Pelodiscus sinensis: one gene and its partner. The protein of the gene in region 2 interacts with the protein of the main gene of each other region in a pairwise test. Links are inferred from orthologs where the notes say so. Each region holds a gene or a part of one and is shown on either strand. Other genes may lie near its edges.

Region 1 (7,394 bases), on a different chromosome or scaffold from region 2:
CCCCTTCTGCCTGAGGCTCCCGTCCCTTCCTGGATTGTGGAGTCAGCCTTCCTACCCCACCTTTCCCAGGGGCCTGCAGGAGCTGTTGGCTCCCCTGTCCAGAGCATCACTTTGCTTAAAGTTAAAATAATTTCCTAAGATCTAACCCACAGCTCCCTGGCTGCAGTTGAACCCGCTTCTTCTTGTCCTGCCTTCAGTGGACGCGGAGAACAACTCATCACCGTTCCCTTTGTATCCACTTTGTACCTATTTGAAGACTGTTCTGAGACCCCTCCGCTGTGTTCTCTTCTCTCAACTATCCCCGCCCGGGTCCCTCGGCCTCTCCTCGACGGTTACATTCTCTTATCGTGTTCGTTGCTTTCCTCTGGACTCTCTCCAATTTGGCCACATCCCTCTGTAGGATCTACAGTTGGGCACGGTCCTCCTCCGGGCCCAGCTGTTACCATTCGTGGGGATCATCAGACTCCTCCCTTTCTTCTCGGCAGCAGCACGGTTTCTGCGATCCGAAGGGGACACGGCCGTGGATGCTTTGGGGGGCTGGCCATTCGAAAACCGGACCTCACAATCCGGGGGGGCGGATGAAATGTCTGGCTGGGCCCGGGACAGCAAGGGTTGGTGCCGTGTCGAACGGCGTTGGATTGTTTTCACGTTACACGGAACGAGACGGCTTTTTGAAAGAGTTGTTTCAAACGGAAAAACTCTGAAACTTTTGCCAGGCTGCCAGGTCCTTCCTGCTCCACCGCTGGAGCAAGAGTGTGTCCCTGAGCTCAGCAGCTCCTATTTATACCGCCCCAGCTGGGTCCTGATTGGCCGCTTGCTCCAGGGTTGGGCTTAACCCTTCTCTCACCGGGAGCAGGGCGGTCGCCTCACTACCCTGCCAAAATCGAACGGAACTTCCAGGGCCCTTCTTATCGTCTCTCGTATCTTAACGTTTTCTCTGAGGTGCTGAGAAAATTATCCCCTGCCTGCAAAACCGCAATGTAGCTTCTCTGCTCCATATCCACCATCTCAGGGGAGTAGCAAAAGGGCTACTGCATCTGCCAGATGGCTACCGGCTCGGCAGAGGTGGTGAGTGAAGGTAGGGCCGGGGAAGGGGTTGGGAACAGCTGCCATATGAGAGCGATTGAAAAGACTAGGACGTTTCAGCTTGGAAAAAAGGAGGCTAAGGGGGTCTCTAAAATCACAACTGGTGTGGAGAAAGTGAATAAGGAAACGTTATTTACTTGTTCCCATCACATCAGAACTAGGGTTCACCAAATGAATTAAACAGGTCGCAGGTTGAAAACGAAAGGAAGGTTTTTCTTCACACGGCGCATAGTCAACCTGTGGAACTCCTTGCCGGTGGATGATTTGAAGGCCAGGATTTTAACAGGTTTCAAAAAAGAACTAAATAAATCCATGCAGGTTAGCCAGGCTGGGCAGGAATGGTGTCTCTAGCCGCTGTTTGTCAGAGGCTGGGAGTGGGCGACGGAGGAGGGATCTGTTCCCTCCCTCTGCGGCACGTGGCATTGGCTGCTGTTGGCAGACAGGACACTGGGCTAGACCGCTCTTTGCTCTGACCCATTATGGCCGTTCTTACGTGAGGGAAAGGGCGGCAGAGCGCGAAGGCTCTGGCAGGCAGAAGAAACGTTTCCCCAGAGGGGAGAGGGGGAGCGATTAGTGAAAAGTCGCGCGGTGCCTACCTGCTGGGTCTGTGAGAGTCCAGCGAGATCCCCGTCCCCGCAAGGTGTCGGCCTGCAGAAACGCAGAGTCACTCCAGCCTCTCTTGCAGCATGCCCTTGGCTCTGTTTCGCACGGCAGGGAAGCCGAGTTGCTCTCTAGCTCTCGTGTTCCCGGGAGGCGTCTGCGTTCAGCAGCAGACTGGCTGCGTCGGGCAGGTGGTGTGAGCAGGCGACGGGGATGAGGCGTGTGTCAGGACCGCTGGGAAATCAGCGAGGAAGAAGTCTCGACCCACAGACGCTTTGCTTCCTCCTCCTCTCCCGTGGCGCTTGGCGCAGTCCCTGCTGCTATTTGTGTCTGGCTGGGGACGAGCCAAGATGAAACGGAGACGGCGAAAGCTTAGATCATGGCTTTCTTTGCAGTGCCAGCCTGCCCCTCCTCACACGGCATGGCAGGACAAGGCCAGCTGCACCAAGGGGGTGGAGGAAGGGCATCTCACTTCTGTTCCCTGCTGCCCACACTGGCTGTTTGGGGCTGGCTTATCTGTGTGGCTGCAGTCGCACTAAAACTAGACACTTCAATACCCCTGGCACTTAAACAGGCTCTTGGTTGAAGAGCTTGCTTGCTGCTTTAGGACCCTCAATATCATTAGCATCCGGTCCTAAGGAATAAGTTCCTAGCCGAGGTTAGCTGAAACACCTCAGTCTTGGTGGATGGTTGCAACATAACAACGTTTATTCTTAGAGTCATGAGCAAGGCCTCCAAACTAGCAGATTTACCCGGCGTCGCACCGGTCCTTAAATGGGTTAAAAACAATTAGATCCATTCACGGAGGCTAGGTCCATCAATGGTCATTCTTGCGTGTGCTTTTCTGCAGTCTGCTAGGTTCGTTGTCGCGGGTTCAATCATTCCAACTGAGCCGATTATAGGACACCTTGCTTTGTTGGTGTTGCTATTGAAATTCAAACACGCACCACTGGTTAAGAATTGCTCAGCCATCAAGATCTTTTACAAAAGGCAGGACAGAGGCCTGAAAGAGCAAAAATCCCTGGACGTCTAATAGGAGTGTTTCTTAGCACTTTCTCAAGAGCCGGTGGAAAGTCAGTGAATTTGCAGCCTTGAACAAAAGTGTTTCATTGATGTTGCTTTGAAGAGACTTCCCTTTTTCCCAGTCTGCGAATGAATGAATTGAAGTACGAATATCGAATATTAAACTGCTATAATATTGTCAGATATAGTCCTGGGAAAACCACGGAACTAGAGGGCAGAACTATTGTGATTAAACCAATTTATATGTGGACAGAGAAGTCGAGAGTAAGTAGACTTGGCAGAACTGGATTTTTCCATATTTTCTTTTACAATTTCAGTGGATAATATCAAGGTTTATTTTTAAGCTTTTTTATTCTTATTTACTTATGTTTTCAGAACTGAGGCGGGATCAGAGACCAAGGGTGTGCGTGTGTCATATTTAAAAAACCAAAAATGATCTGGTAGTACTTTATAGACTAACAAAACATGTAGATGGTATTATGAGCTTTCGTGGGCACAGCCCACTTCTTCAGATGACCAGAGTTTTGAGTTTAGGATGTGCAGACCCAAAAAGGGCTGTGCCTGCGAAAGCTCATGATACCATCTCTGTTTTGTTAGTCTATAAAGTGCTACCAGACCAGTTTTGGTGTTTTAATTGTATCCTGTACAGACTAATTCGGCTACCCCCTGACGCTTCTAATTATTTAAAGACAGCCCAGTCGACGCTGAGATGCAAAAAGTTAAAGCTTTATAACTGTGGAAGCCGAAATTGTCAACCCCACATGTCAAAATGTACCAAGTCAGGAGCTCTCAATCCAACTCTGATAGGATTCCGGGCAGGGATTTTCTTACTTTCCATCTCTGTAAATGTTGCTGAGTATGGACCGAGCTATGTTCTCGCCAGTTGGTGTGGATAAGGTGAAGTCGACGTGTCTCATATTTCCTGGTACTTTCAAGCCTCATTCTAACCCCTCTGTGTTTTTGGGTCAGGGAGGTTGGTGTCTGAGTGGGGCGCTGGCTCCCTCTTGTGTCCTGTGAGTGGAATCTCTCCTCAGTGCTCCCTTTGTTTAGCTAATTTGTTTCGGACATTGTACGTCACTCCGTTTAAACTGTTCCCACCCCCTCCCCGCAATCTCACCCTCTCTGTGCTGAATTTCCCCTGCCATCATGTTACCCAGTTACCTGCATCTTTTACCCTGGAGTCCTGCAATCCGCAGCTGATTTTCTGTGAGAAGAAGCTGTATGTGTGGATTCATGGATGGATCCTGCATCTCTGGATTGTTTGGACTCTCACGGGGAAGTTTACCAGATGTCAAGTGGAGATCTCCAGAGACAATACACGGGGACCCTGGCGTTACAATCTGTGACTCACCTGTGAATGTTTTACCTGCTTTAACCTCTCAACAACTCTTCGCTTGTGCGGCTGCAAGTTCTCTCGTGCTGAGGCAGCGGATCCCACAGTGCTTTGATCTTCCAGGTGTGTCGGGAAAGTGCAGCAAATCCACAGAAGGTGCAAAGACCGTGCATGGAAGTGAAAGCATATTCCCCACTCCCACAAATGGAAAAAAGTTCATTTGATTGCTGAGTCAACACATGGAGGTGAGTGTGCAGAGCCGGGAGGGTGGGGGAACATGGTTTTTATGAGCGACGAAGGTCCTGTGGCACCTTAGGGTGTGTCTAGACTACAGGGTTTTGTCAAGAAAAGTGGACTTTTGTCGACAAAACTAGACCTGCGTCTACACTGCCGCCGAGTTCTGTAAACCTCATTCTTCGAGGAATAGCGTCTTTTGTCGACAGAGTTCTGTCAACAGAAGGCGTTATTGCATCTACACTGTCCCTTGCGTCTACACTGTCATGTCAACAAAAGCCTGTAGTCTTGACGTACCCTTATAGGCTAACAGATGTATTGGAGCATAAGCTTTAGTGTGCGAAGACCCACTTCATCAGATGCATGTAGTGGAATTTACATGACTTGCATCTGACGAAGTGGGTCTTTGCCCACAAAAGCTTATGCTCGTATACATCTGTTAGTCCAGTGGTCCTCAACGTGGTGCCCGCGGGTGCCATGGTGCCCGCTGGGCCATTTCTGTGCGCCCGCCGAGTGATCAGGGCTGGCCCGGGCCCGTGGGCGCTGTCGGCTCCTGGGTGCATGGCGTATGGGCATCCCCGCCCCTGGGCACACGGCACAGGAGAAGCACCAGCCCCGGGCGTGTGGCGTATGGGCAGCCCCACCCCATGGCGTGCGGCACAGGACCGGCGCTGGCCCCGGGACTACGGCGCATGGGTGGCGCCAGCACCTGGCATGCGGTGTATGGGTGGTCCCACCCCCAGACACATGCGTGGCCCTGCCCCCGGGTGCCCGGCAGCCCCGAAAGGCTGGGGACCACTGTGTTAGTCTATAAGTTGCCACAGGACTCCTCGTTGCTTTTGCAGATCCAGACGAACATGGCTACTCCTCTGATGGTGTTTATGAGTATCCCCATGTGGCAATGCCGCGAGAAGAGGGCATCATGCGTGTGTCTGGATATTAAGGCAGCTTTCCAAGGCTCTGGTGTACAGCGGAGGGACAAACGTGTCCCATAGAGGTTTCCCCAGGATCTAAGCCCATAGCCAGGGGATGGGATTTTCATCACAGCTGGGGGGGCTGAGCTGTTCCGAGTTTCGATGGGCTGGACAATGGACAGCATGCCAGGGAATGTGGAAGTGACGAGGAAGCGGAGTTCCCTGCCCTGTGTCAGCTGTCGGCAAGCCACATGTTTTGTGTGCGTCTCGGGGCATGCCAGCGGGCAGACCAGGGAGATCGGCAAAGGAGACGCTTGTCAGGAAGTAAAAGGCCTGGGATCTTTCCTTACAGGGCTTTTTTTTTACCTACCCTGAGGCTGAATGGCTGACAGCAGCCCTCCACTGACCCCTGGTGAGCAGCCAGCGGTGCGTTTCTCCATCCGTTTCCCTTGTTGCCTCCGGCAAGGTTGCGTCATTTTCGCTTGTGCAATTTGCTCTTTGCTGCTGACATGAAACATGAGCACTTGAATCCGTGCCAGGCGTGGGAGCCTACAACCTTAGGGCCGGGAGGGACCGTGGGAGGAGCAGTGAGGCAGGACCAAGGAAACCAAGATGATCCCAGACAGGTATTTGTCCCTCCTGTTCTGAAAACCCTCCTCCGATGGGGATTCCACACGTGGAAACTGGTGCCAGAGCATAGCTAGAAAGTTTCCCCTCAGAGCAAACCTTCATTTTCTTGCCACCAATTAATCCAGCTCCTCGTTGTCCAGAGCAATGGTTCACTGGCCTCTTGCTCACAACCTTTTCCATCGCTGTAGGCAGTTACCGGCTCCCTCCACAGCCGCCTTGTCTCTGGACTGACCTTGTCCTGTTCTTTTGACCTTTCTTCAGAGGCAGGGCTGCAGACCAGGGGAGCGCAAGGGGTACCGTATGTTAGCGAATATACCCCTCGACTTTTTCCGAATTGAGTAAAAAAAATCTTGTATACCTTGCGCACAAGTATAACCCACAGGCTATACAAGACTTTTCTTTCCAACTGTGCCGGGGTATATTAGCTAATTTAGGGTGCCGGGGGAGGGGGTGGGATTAGCCAGCCTAAACGCCCCAGTTCCTGCGCAGCTGCCAGTCTCCGGGTGGGGGAGCACTCATCCCCCAGTTCCTGCGGCTGCGCGGAAACCGGGAGATGAGTGCTCCCCCACCGCTTTCTGCGGCTGCGCGGGAACCAGGGGGATGTGCGCTCCCCCACCCGGAGGCTGGCGGTTGTACCGGAACTCACCAGGTGAGTAAAAAAAAATATTGTATACCCCATGGGGGGGGGGGTGTGTGTGTTGTAAAAACTCATATAACCTGTGGGTTATATACGCTAAAATACAGTAGTTGTCCTGGAGCCTGGTGATTTAAGAGGGTCTGAGCCACACTGCTGCCCCCTTGGCACCAGCGGTAGCCAGAGCCCTTTAAATCGCCGCTGGAGTCCTGTGTGATGTGGTGTGGACCGCACTCAGGGATGGCTAGGGAGGCTAGCTCTAGCCCCGCCCCTTCTGCTCCAGACCCACCCCTTGTTCCCAAGGCCCCGCCCCTTCTGGGAGCACGGAGCGTGCCCCTCCCACACACACATTGCCCAAGGCCTGGTGAAGTCTGTCACGAGCCCTGTTTATAGGCCAGGTTTTCCAGCCTTCTCATCACGTGTGTTGCTCGACTCTGGCCTCTCACGAGTGTGTCTAAACCTTTCCGAAGTGCAAAACACCCCCCCAGGCCCTCTGCTGAATAGAATCATAGAATACTAGGACTGGAAGGGACCTCGAGAGGCATCGAGTCCAGTCCCCTGCCCTCACGGCAGGACCAAATACTGTCTAGCCCATCCCTGAGAGACATTTATCTAACCTGCTCTTAAATATCTCCAGAGATGGGGATTCCACAACCTCCCTGGGCAATTGATTCCAGTGTTTGACCACCCTGACAGGTAGGAACTTTTTCCTAATGTCCAACCTAAACCTCCCTTGCTGCAGTTTAAGCCCATTGCTTCTTGTTCTATCCTCAGAGGCCAAGATGAACAAGTTTTCTCCCTCCTCCTTGTGACACCCTTTTAGATACCTGAAAGCTGCTATCATGTCCCCCCTCAGTCTTCTCTTTTCTAAACTAAACAAGCCCAATTCTTTCAGCCTTCCTCCATAGGTCATGTTCTCTAGACCCTTAATCATTCTTAT
Region 2 (7,964 bases):
CTGCTCCAGAATTCAGTTCTCGGGATGGGGGGGTGGGGGGTGGAGGTCAATGAATCAAAATCTAGGGACGAGGCTGACTAATGCTTCTATAGGAGGATCAATTTTAGGAGTTCAAACCCAGCTTTCCGTGGGATCCCACATGCCCATCTCTGTACAAGGAATTCTTTTAAGCAGAGACCACTCCCCACTCCCCTTACAAAAAGCCTCAAATGGAGCATAAATGTGGACATGTTTCCAATGCGCACACTTGCCAGAAAGGGGAGATAAAAAACAGTGGGAGCAAGTTTCTTTTCACCTAGGACAGCGATTGGTTCCGCTGGAATAACACTGATCACACATATTTGTATAATTAAGGTAGCACCCAGTCATTAATCAGGTGTGAAGAGTTTCACGGGGCTGCACAGGCACCGGAAAACATGTTCCCTATTTTCAAGAGCATGCAAATTAAATTCAGACCAGATGCAACCCGTGGGTGTAGCAAACAACAGGCCAGAGAGAGGGGTTGCGGTGGTAAGAACATGAAGTCATAATATGCATGGCTTGGGGGGTTCCAAATCACTTGAGACCGCTTTGTTTTTTGTTTACAGCTCGATACTAATCAAGAGAGTAAATGCGGCACTCTCTCATCCTCCCAAGGGGGAGTGTTACGGTTAATGGGGGCGGAGGGAGGCTGCAAGCCAGGCTCTTGGAAGAATTACAGCAAACTTCTCCAGAACTTTGGAATTAGTCTTGATCTAGACAGCACTCATGGAGCAAGGTCTGCAGCCACTCTCTAGCTGAAATCTAGCATGGGACAGTCGCTAGCTGGGATTTGTGTTCAGTGTGAGCATAAGAATATTTGGTCTCTCTGGCCCTAATCAAGGATTTTTTTTCAGACAAGCAGCTAAGACAGCTGCAAAGACTCCCCCAAATATTTGCCTCTCCCCAGCTTTGATTCCCTATGACTGCTGTGCTGTGCATTCATATTGCTTGCTGGATAGGTTCAGGTACAGCAGTGAATTCCTGCAGGGCCTGCTGGGCAGACACAGCCTTACATCGCCATCTGTTCTGACCCAAATCGGTCGCAAATGACAACTGTGACCAGTGTTCCTTATAAGTGCTTGGGCAGCCACCCGGGGGACATTCCAATGCCACCCTGCTAATTAGCAGAGCACGCACAGCTGCACGCAGCCAGCAGCGTGTCCTTCTAATGGTGGTGCACATCTGCCCATGCCTCAGTGCACATCACAAAATGTATTCTGCACATGAGTGGAAAAAAGCTTCGGAGGGGGAGCCGAGTTAGCCTGTAGCTGGGAAAACTTTAAGAAGTTGGGGTGGAAAAGGAGGAAACACTGCAGCTAACCATTGTTAAAGGAACTTCAGGGGGTAGCCGAGTTAATCTGTTACAGAAAAAAGCAACAAATGGTCTGGTAGCACTTTATAGACTAACAAAAACATGTCTGTAGATGGTATGCCCATTGTTAAAGGAGTTAATCATTGCTCATTTCCAGGTAGGCACGCCCAGGCCACAACTGGCCCCTTGTTTTCCAAGTGCAGAGAGAAAGCCAAGATCTGAACAGTGGAGACTGTTTGCCTCCCTCCACTCCGGAGGGTCTCTCGGAAGCGCGGTAGCATAGCAATGCCATGCTTGTGGGCCTGGAATCCCGCAGGACACGCATCACTGGGGGTGTGGTGACACTGCAAGAAAAGCCCCGTGATGTGGCTGCCATTGGCCCAGGTCAGCTGATTTGGGCTCTCCAGGCTGGGACAGCAGGGCTATGACACTGCAGTGTAGATATTCAGGGTCTGACACCCCAAAGCGGGTGGGGCTAAGAGCCACATGTCCACACTATGTTTAGCCCCATAGCCCGAGCCTGAATCAGCTGACCTAGCCGCTGGGACTCATCCCCATGGGTTTTTATGGCAGTGTAGACATACCCTGAAACACACTGCACGGTGAGAAGAGCAAACCAGACTCTGCCTTCTCCCTTCCCTTTCTTCCTCTGCCCTGTTCTTCCGCCGCTTTTCACCCGCCCAGCGCCTCCATCTTCCTCCCCCCTTCTCTCCCTCGCCACCTGGGGCTTTTGTTCCCTTGGTGGGCAATGTTCCTCGCCGGCCTGTGACAAACGGCACGTCGCAGGGTGCTCAGCTGGGAAGCTGTTCATCGTTCCCTCTCACACAAAGCTCTTCTCATCGCCACACCAGGGAGGGACCTGGTACCACTTGGCAACCAAACGCCTCTGAATGCCCTGGCTGGAAGGGTTCCCGCTTAGCTCCAGAGGCGTCAGAGGGGCGGGCAGTGTGGCTGGAGGTGTCTGAGGGGAGATGGAGACCTATCACCGGGGGGGAAGGATGGGGTGCCGGGGATTTGTCTGCTGCGGGTGGGTGTGTCTGAGAGTGGGGTCAGCGCCATCGGGGCAGGGATTCTTCCTCTCCCCTCAGAATTTAACAAGAGGCTGCCGGTGGCGGGGGGCTCTCTCCAGTAGGCTGCAAAGAGACTCCCCCTCCCTCCACCACAACTCCTCCATTCTCACCCCATTTGTTCCCAGCCCCCCACATCTTCCTACCCTTCTCGCTAAGGCAGTGCCAACCACTTCTAATAACTGACTATTAAATGTGTATTATGGTAGCACCTGAGCGTCCCCGTCCGGGCAGGACACCATTGTGCTAGCGACGAGGAGTCCTGTGGCACCTTATCGACTAACAGGTTTACTGGTGCATAAGCTTTCATGGGCAAAGACCCACTTCATCAGATGCATCTAGTGGAAATTCCAGAGGCAGGTATATATATATACAGGCATAAGAAAAGAGTAGCAATCAAGAGTTAGGCTAGAGATAACGAGGTCAATTCAGTCAGGGAGGATGAGGCCCACTTCTAGCCGCTGATGTGGAGGTGTGAAAACCAAGAGAGGAGAAACTTCTTTTGTAGTTGGCTAGCCTTTCACAGTCTGGCTGCGCCTAGATTGGCATGATCTTCTGGAAATGCTTTTAATGGAAAAGTTTTCCGTTAAAAGCATTTTCGGAACAGAGCGTCTAGATTGGCAAGGACACTTTTCGGCAAAAACACTTTTGCGGCAAAAGCACCATTTTCGCGATCGGGGCTTTTTTGCGGAAACAAATCTGAGCTGTCTACACTGGCCCTTTTGTGCAAAAGCTTTGCCTGAACGGGAGCAGAATACTATTTCCGCAAGAAGCACTGATTTCTTACAGTAGGAAGTCAGTGCTTTTGCGGAAATTCAAGTGGCCAGTGTAGACAGCTGGCAAGTTTTTCCGGAAAAGCGGCTGATTTTCCGGAAAAACTGACTAGTCTAGACACATCCTCTTTGTTTAATCCTTTGTTTAATCTACACAAGAGAGCCACTTCCTGGACACTACGGTGCAAATAAATGATGGTCACATAAAGACCACCCTACAACGAAAACCTACTGACCTCTATGCCTACCTCCATGCCTCCAGCTTCCATCCCGGACACACCACACGATCCATTGTCTACTACAGCCAAGCACTAAGGTACAATTGCATTTGCTCCAATCCCTCAGACAGAGACAAACACCTACAAGATCTTCACCAAGAATTCTTGAAACTACAATACCTGACTGAGGAAGTGAGGAAACAGATTAACAGAGCCGAGATGTGTACCCAGAGGCCGCCTACTACAAGACAAGCCCAACAAAGAAACAAACAGAACACCACTGGCCATCACCTACAGTCCTCAGCTAAAACCTCTCCAATGCATCATCAGTGATCTACAACCCATCCTGGACAATGATCCCTCACTTTCACAGGCTTTGGGAGGCAGGCCAGTCCTCGCCCACAGACAACCTGCCAACCTAAAGCAAATTCTCACCAGCAACTATACAGCACACCACAGTAACTCTAACTCAGGAATGAATCCCTGCAACAAACCTCGGTGCCAACTCTGCCCACATATCTACACCAGCGACACCATCACAGGAGCTAATCAGATCAGCCACACCATCAAGTGTTCATTTACCTGCACATCTACCAATGTGATCTATGCCATCATGTGCCAGCAATGCCCCTCTGCTATATACATTAGCCAAACTGGACAGTCGCTACGTAAAAGAATAAATGGACACAAATCAGATATTAGGAATGGCAATATACAAAAACCTGTAGGGGAACACTTCAATCTCCCTGGACACACAGTAGCAGATTTAAAAGTAGCCATCCTGCAACAAAAAAACTTCAAGAACAGACTTAAAAGAGAAACTGCTGAGCTACAGTTCATCTGCAAATTTGATACCATCCATTTAGGATTAAACAAAGACTGTGAAAGGCTAGCCAACTACAAAAGCAGTTTCTCCTCTCTTGGTTTTCCACACCTCCACATCAGCAGCTAAAAAAGTGGGCCTTATCTTCCCTGACTGAATTGACCTCGTTATCTCCAGCCTTACTCTTGATCCTACTCTTTTCTTATGCCTGTGTATTTATACTTGCCTCTGGAATTTCCACTACATGCATCTGACAAGTGGGTCTTTGCCCACGAAAGCTTATGTGCCAATAAATCTGTTAATCTATAAAGTGCCACAGGATTTCTCATGGCTTTTGCAGATTTAGACTAACAAGGCTACCCCTTGGATACATTGAGCTACCCCTTGGATACATTGAGCTACCCCTTGGATACATTGTGATAGGTGCTGCACAGACACAGAACAAGCCAGGCCCTGCCCCACAGCACTTCCATGCTGCCCACTGACATCTCTGAGCCCCTTCCTCAAGAATGTGATTCCACCTGCTTGTCCTCCTGAGGGGCAGGGCAGGGCTGCCACCCCCAGTGCACGGAGGGGGAATCGAGGCACGCAGGGAAGCTGTGGTACGACAGGGACTCGCGCCCCCCGTCTACCAAGTTGCAGACTGGAGCTCTAACCACTGGGAAGCCCATCCCCTCACTCCCTCTGCTTCCCGCCCTCCTTCCTCAGCCTTTCCCCAGGCTCGGGGCAGACCAGGGCTCCCCTGGCGGAGGAAGTGACAGCAGCGGGCAAAGCCAAAGGGCGACGCCGGGGGCACGCGGTTCGCTCCGCGCCCTCCCCAGAAGCAGCTGCCAGGCGCGGGGGAGGGAACTCGCCCGGCCCACCTTAAGCCGGCAACGCGGGGCTGCTCCGGGATGACCGTAGCGCAGCAGGGGGGTGTGGAGCCCGGCCCGGGGCTGCACCCGCCCGGCGAGCGACCTTAAATCGGGGCGGCCCGGGGGGGCTGTTCCTGCGCCCGGGTACGTGCCTGGAAGCCGCCTCCTCCGTGCTAGGCAACCGGGGGGGCTGCCAGCGCCAGGAACCGGAGCGGGAGCCCGCGCCGCGGCCACACACCCGCCGCAGGGGCCGGGCTGCAGCGGGCGGGCCGGCGAGCGACGCCCGGTCCCCCGAGCCGGCTGCCCAGGTGGGGGGCGCGACGCCTCCTCCTCCTCCTCCTCCGGGGGGCGGCCCTGAGCCCGAGCGGAGCCGGCCCCTTCATGCGACTCTTCCTCCTTTCTGTCCCCGCCAGCCGCCCGCCATGGAGCCCGGCGCCCGCCGCGCCCGCGCCCCGGCCCGGGGGCTCACCTGCCTGCTGCTCCTCGGCCTGCTCGCCTGGCCCGGTAAGTGATGCTGCTCCCGGTGGGCAGGCTGGCGTGAGCCCCCCCCCCCGGGCTCTTCCCTGCTCCCCCCGGCTCTTCCCTGACCCCCGGGAGTGTCTGCCCCACGGCTCTTCCCTGCCCCCCCCCGGCTCTTCCGTGCCCCCCGGAGTATCTTCCCCCCGGGGAGTGTCTGCCCCCCGGCTCTTCCCTGCCCCCCCCGGCTCTTCCCTGACCCCCGGGAGTGTCTGCCCCCCGGCTCTTCCCTGCCCCCCCCCCGGCTCTTCCGTGCCCCCCGGAGTATCTTCCCCCCGGGGAGTGTTTGCCCCCTGGCTCTTCCCTGCCCTCAGTAGTGTCTGCCCCCCGGCTCTTCCCTGCCCCCCCCGGGAGTGTCTGCCCCCCGGCTCTTCCCTGCCCCCCCCGGGAGTGTCTGCCCCCCGGCTCTTCCCTGCCCCCCCCCCGGGAGTGTCTGCTCCCCGACTCTTCCCTGCCCCCCCGGGAGTGTCTGGCGCCCCCCCCCCCCAGCAAGCTTGTCTGTTGATCTTTAGCTGCCGCAGCGCCCTAGCCGGGGAGGGGGCACATTAAAGACGGGGGGGGGCTGTAACTGGGCTGCTGTGGGAGTAACCTGGGCGCTTCTCCCCTGGGTCCACGGGGGTCTGGCTTGCGCTGTGTAATGTGCGTGGTGGTGGGGGGGGGAGGAGTTGATTTTTCTGTAATCTAGAGATTGTGCCACCAGGTAAACACCCCCTGGTCTGGTGAAAACCGGGCACTGGGGGTTCAACTGGGCAGGCTTAGAACTGGCCCCTTGCTGGGATAGCTATAGGCAGCTAGTGCTTGAGGTGAGAGGGGTGCAGGGAGGGGGCACCCCATTTAGCAGTGAGAATTTTGGTGGAGGGCACTGGGATGCTACCACGAGTCACTGGTGCATATGGCTGCTGCGATCTGCAGGCTGGGTGAATTGGTCAAAATGGCACAAATCTGCCACTCGGACTGTGTTTTTTACACACCAACCGGCAGCCGCGAGGGCACGTATACGCAGGACGTGGCTCCTGGTTAACTCCACGTGTGGATAGTCTTAGTCCAGAATAAGAGAATTCACATGGGGAATTATTCGGGAATGTCTTTAAATACATCCTATCATATTCCAAACTGATTTTCATGAGCCCTTTCAGGAAGCTGTAAAACAGGCACCGCTGTCATTGTCTGATTTCTTACACAGTCCTGCTAGTTGCTTTTTGCGAGCCGTACCCTCCTTTTTGCAGCTCAGAGTGTGCAAATCTCACTCACTTTGCACAATCACTGAATGCCCAGTCAGCGCAACTTTCACCACTTTGCATCCGTTTTCTGGCTCTAGTAATCCACCATGAAGTTTGTATCATAAGGGGAATTGCACTCACTGACTTGAAGCTGAGTTTGACCCGGTCTAGGCTAGGTACCCTCTTGCGGCGCAGCTGTGCTGCTGTACAGCTTCCTATGTAGCCATTGTATGTTGATAGGAGAGAGCTCTTCAGCCACTCCAATTAAACGACCCTCAAGGTGCGGTTGTAGCTATGTTGGCAGAATGAGCTTTCCCACCAACATAGCACTGTCCACACCGGCACTTTTGGCAGCAAAACTTATGGCAGTTGGGGTGTGGGGTTTTTTTTCACACCCTGACAGATTAAAAAATTGCCAGCAAAAGTGTATAGAGCCCTGCAATTTGTATTCGTGGGCATCCGCACCTGTGGCTGCAGACATCCGTGGCGCGTTTTTATGGATATGGTTGCGGATACAATTTTTTTTCTCTAGAATGGTGCAAATTTGCAGATAGCCACTTTATAGCCACTCCACACCCGCAGAGGGGGTTGCAGATATCCCTGGACCATTTTTGCAGATGTGAGCACAAGTTTTGTATCCGTGTAGGGCTCTGCTAGTGTAGACAAAGCCTAATCTAGGCACTTGTACTGTGCCTGGCTCACAATACTGACTCTGTCAGATGATTTGTTTAATGCTCACAAAAGACTTTTGAGCTCCGTGGACGGCGCTATCATGGTGCATTTCTTTACTCAATTTGTTTATTTCTCCTGCCTTTTGCACTTCCCTCTTTTCACTCCCTTCCCTCCATCAGTGTCAGTAAAAACTTCCCTCCTCCACCAAGAATAGAACCGTGTAGTTACTGTTGCATTTCGATGGTGCTTCGCTTGCAGCTGAAATGCTGTAATTTTATCTGTATCTCTCAGCATTAAAAACAACAAGGAGTCTGCCGACACCTTCAAAACTCACAATTTTATCATGGCAGAAGCTTGAATTGCAACTCACTCCTTAACCCGGCTCCCTCTCTGACAGCTCTGAGCAGTTAGTTAATCCACCACGGAAGGCCACTTGTGTGACCGAAATCAAGGCCTGGCTTTCTTAGGAAGCCTTTGTATGCTGGAGT

Evidence for each region.
Region 1: the proteins of tyrosine-protein phosphatase non-receptor type substrate 1-like (region 2) and NOL3 interact in a two-hybrid assay, tested with the Homo sapiens proteins (2 studies listed by BioGRID and IntAct). The two-hybrid records come from large-scale screens. The link is inferred for Pelodiscus sinensis from reciprocal best matches to the Homo sapiens genes SIRPA and NOL3.

The regions. Positions count from the first base shown.
Region 1 is NC_134714.1:133,327,602-133,334,995, reverse strand, and holds the start of NOL3 (nucleolar protein 3), read right to left. Parts: upstream 3,068-7,394; 5' UTR 1,683-3,067; intron 1-1,682.
Region 2 is NC_134728.1:2,956,818-2,964,781, forward strand, and holds the start of tyrosine-protein phosphatase non-receptor type substrate 1-like, read left to right. Parts: upstream 1-4,935; 5' UTR 4,936-5,376; intron 5,377-5,481; 5' UTR 5,482-5,490; coding exon 5,491-5,572; intron 5,573-7,964. UniProt on the Homo sapiens protein: Immunoglobulin-like cell surface receptor for CD47. Acts as docking protein and induces translocation of PTPN6, PTPN11 and other binding partners from the cytosol to the plasma membrane.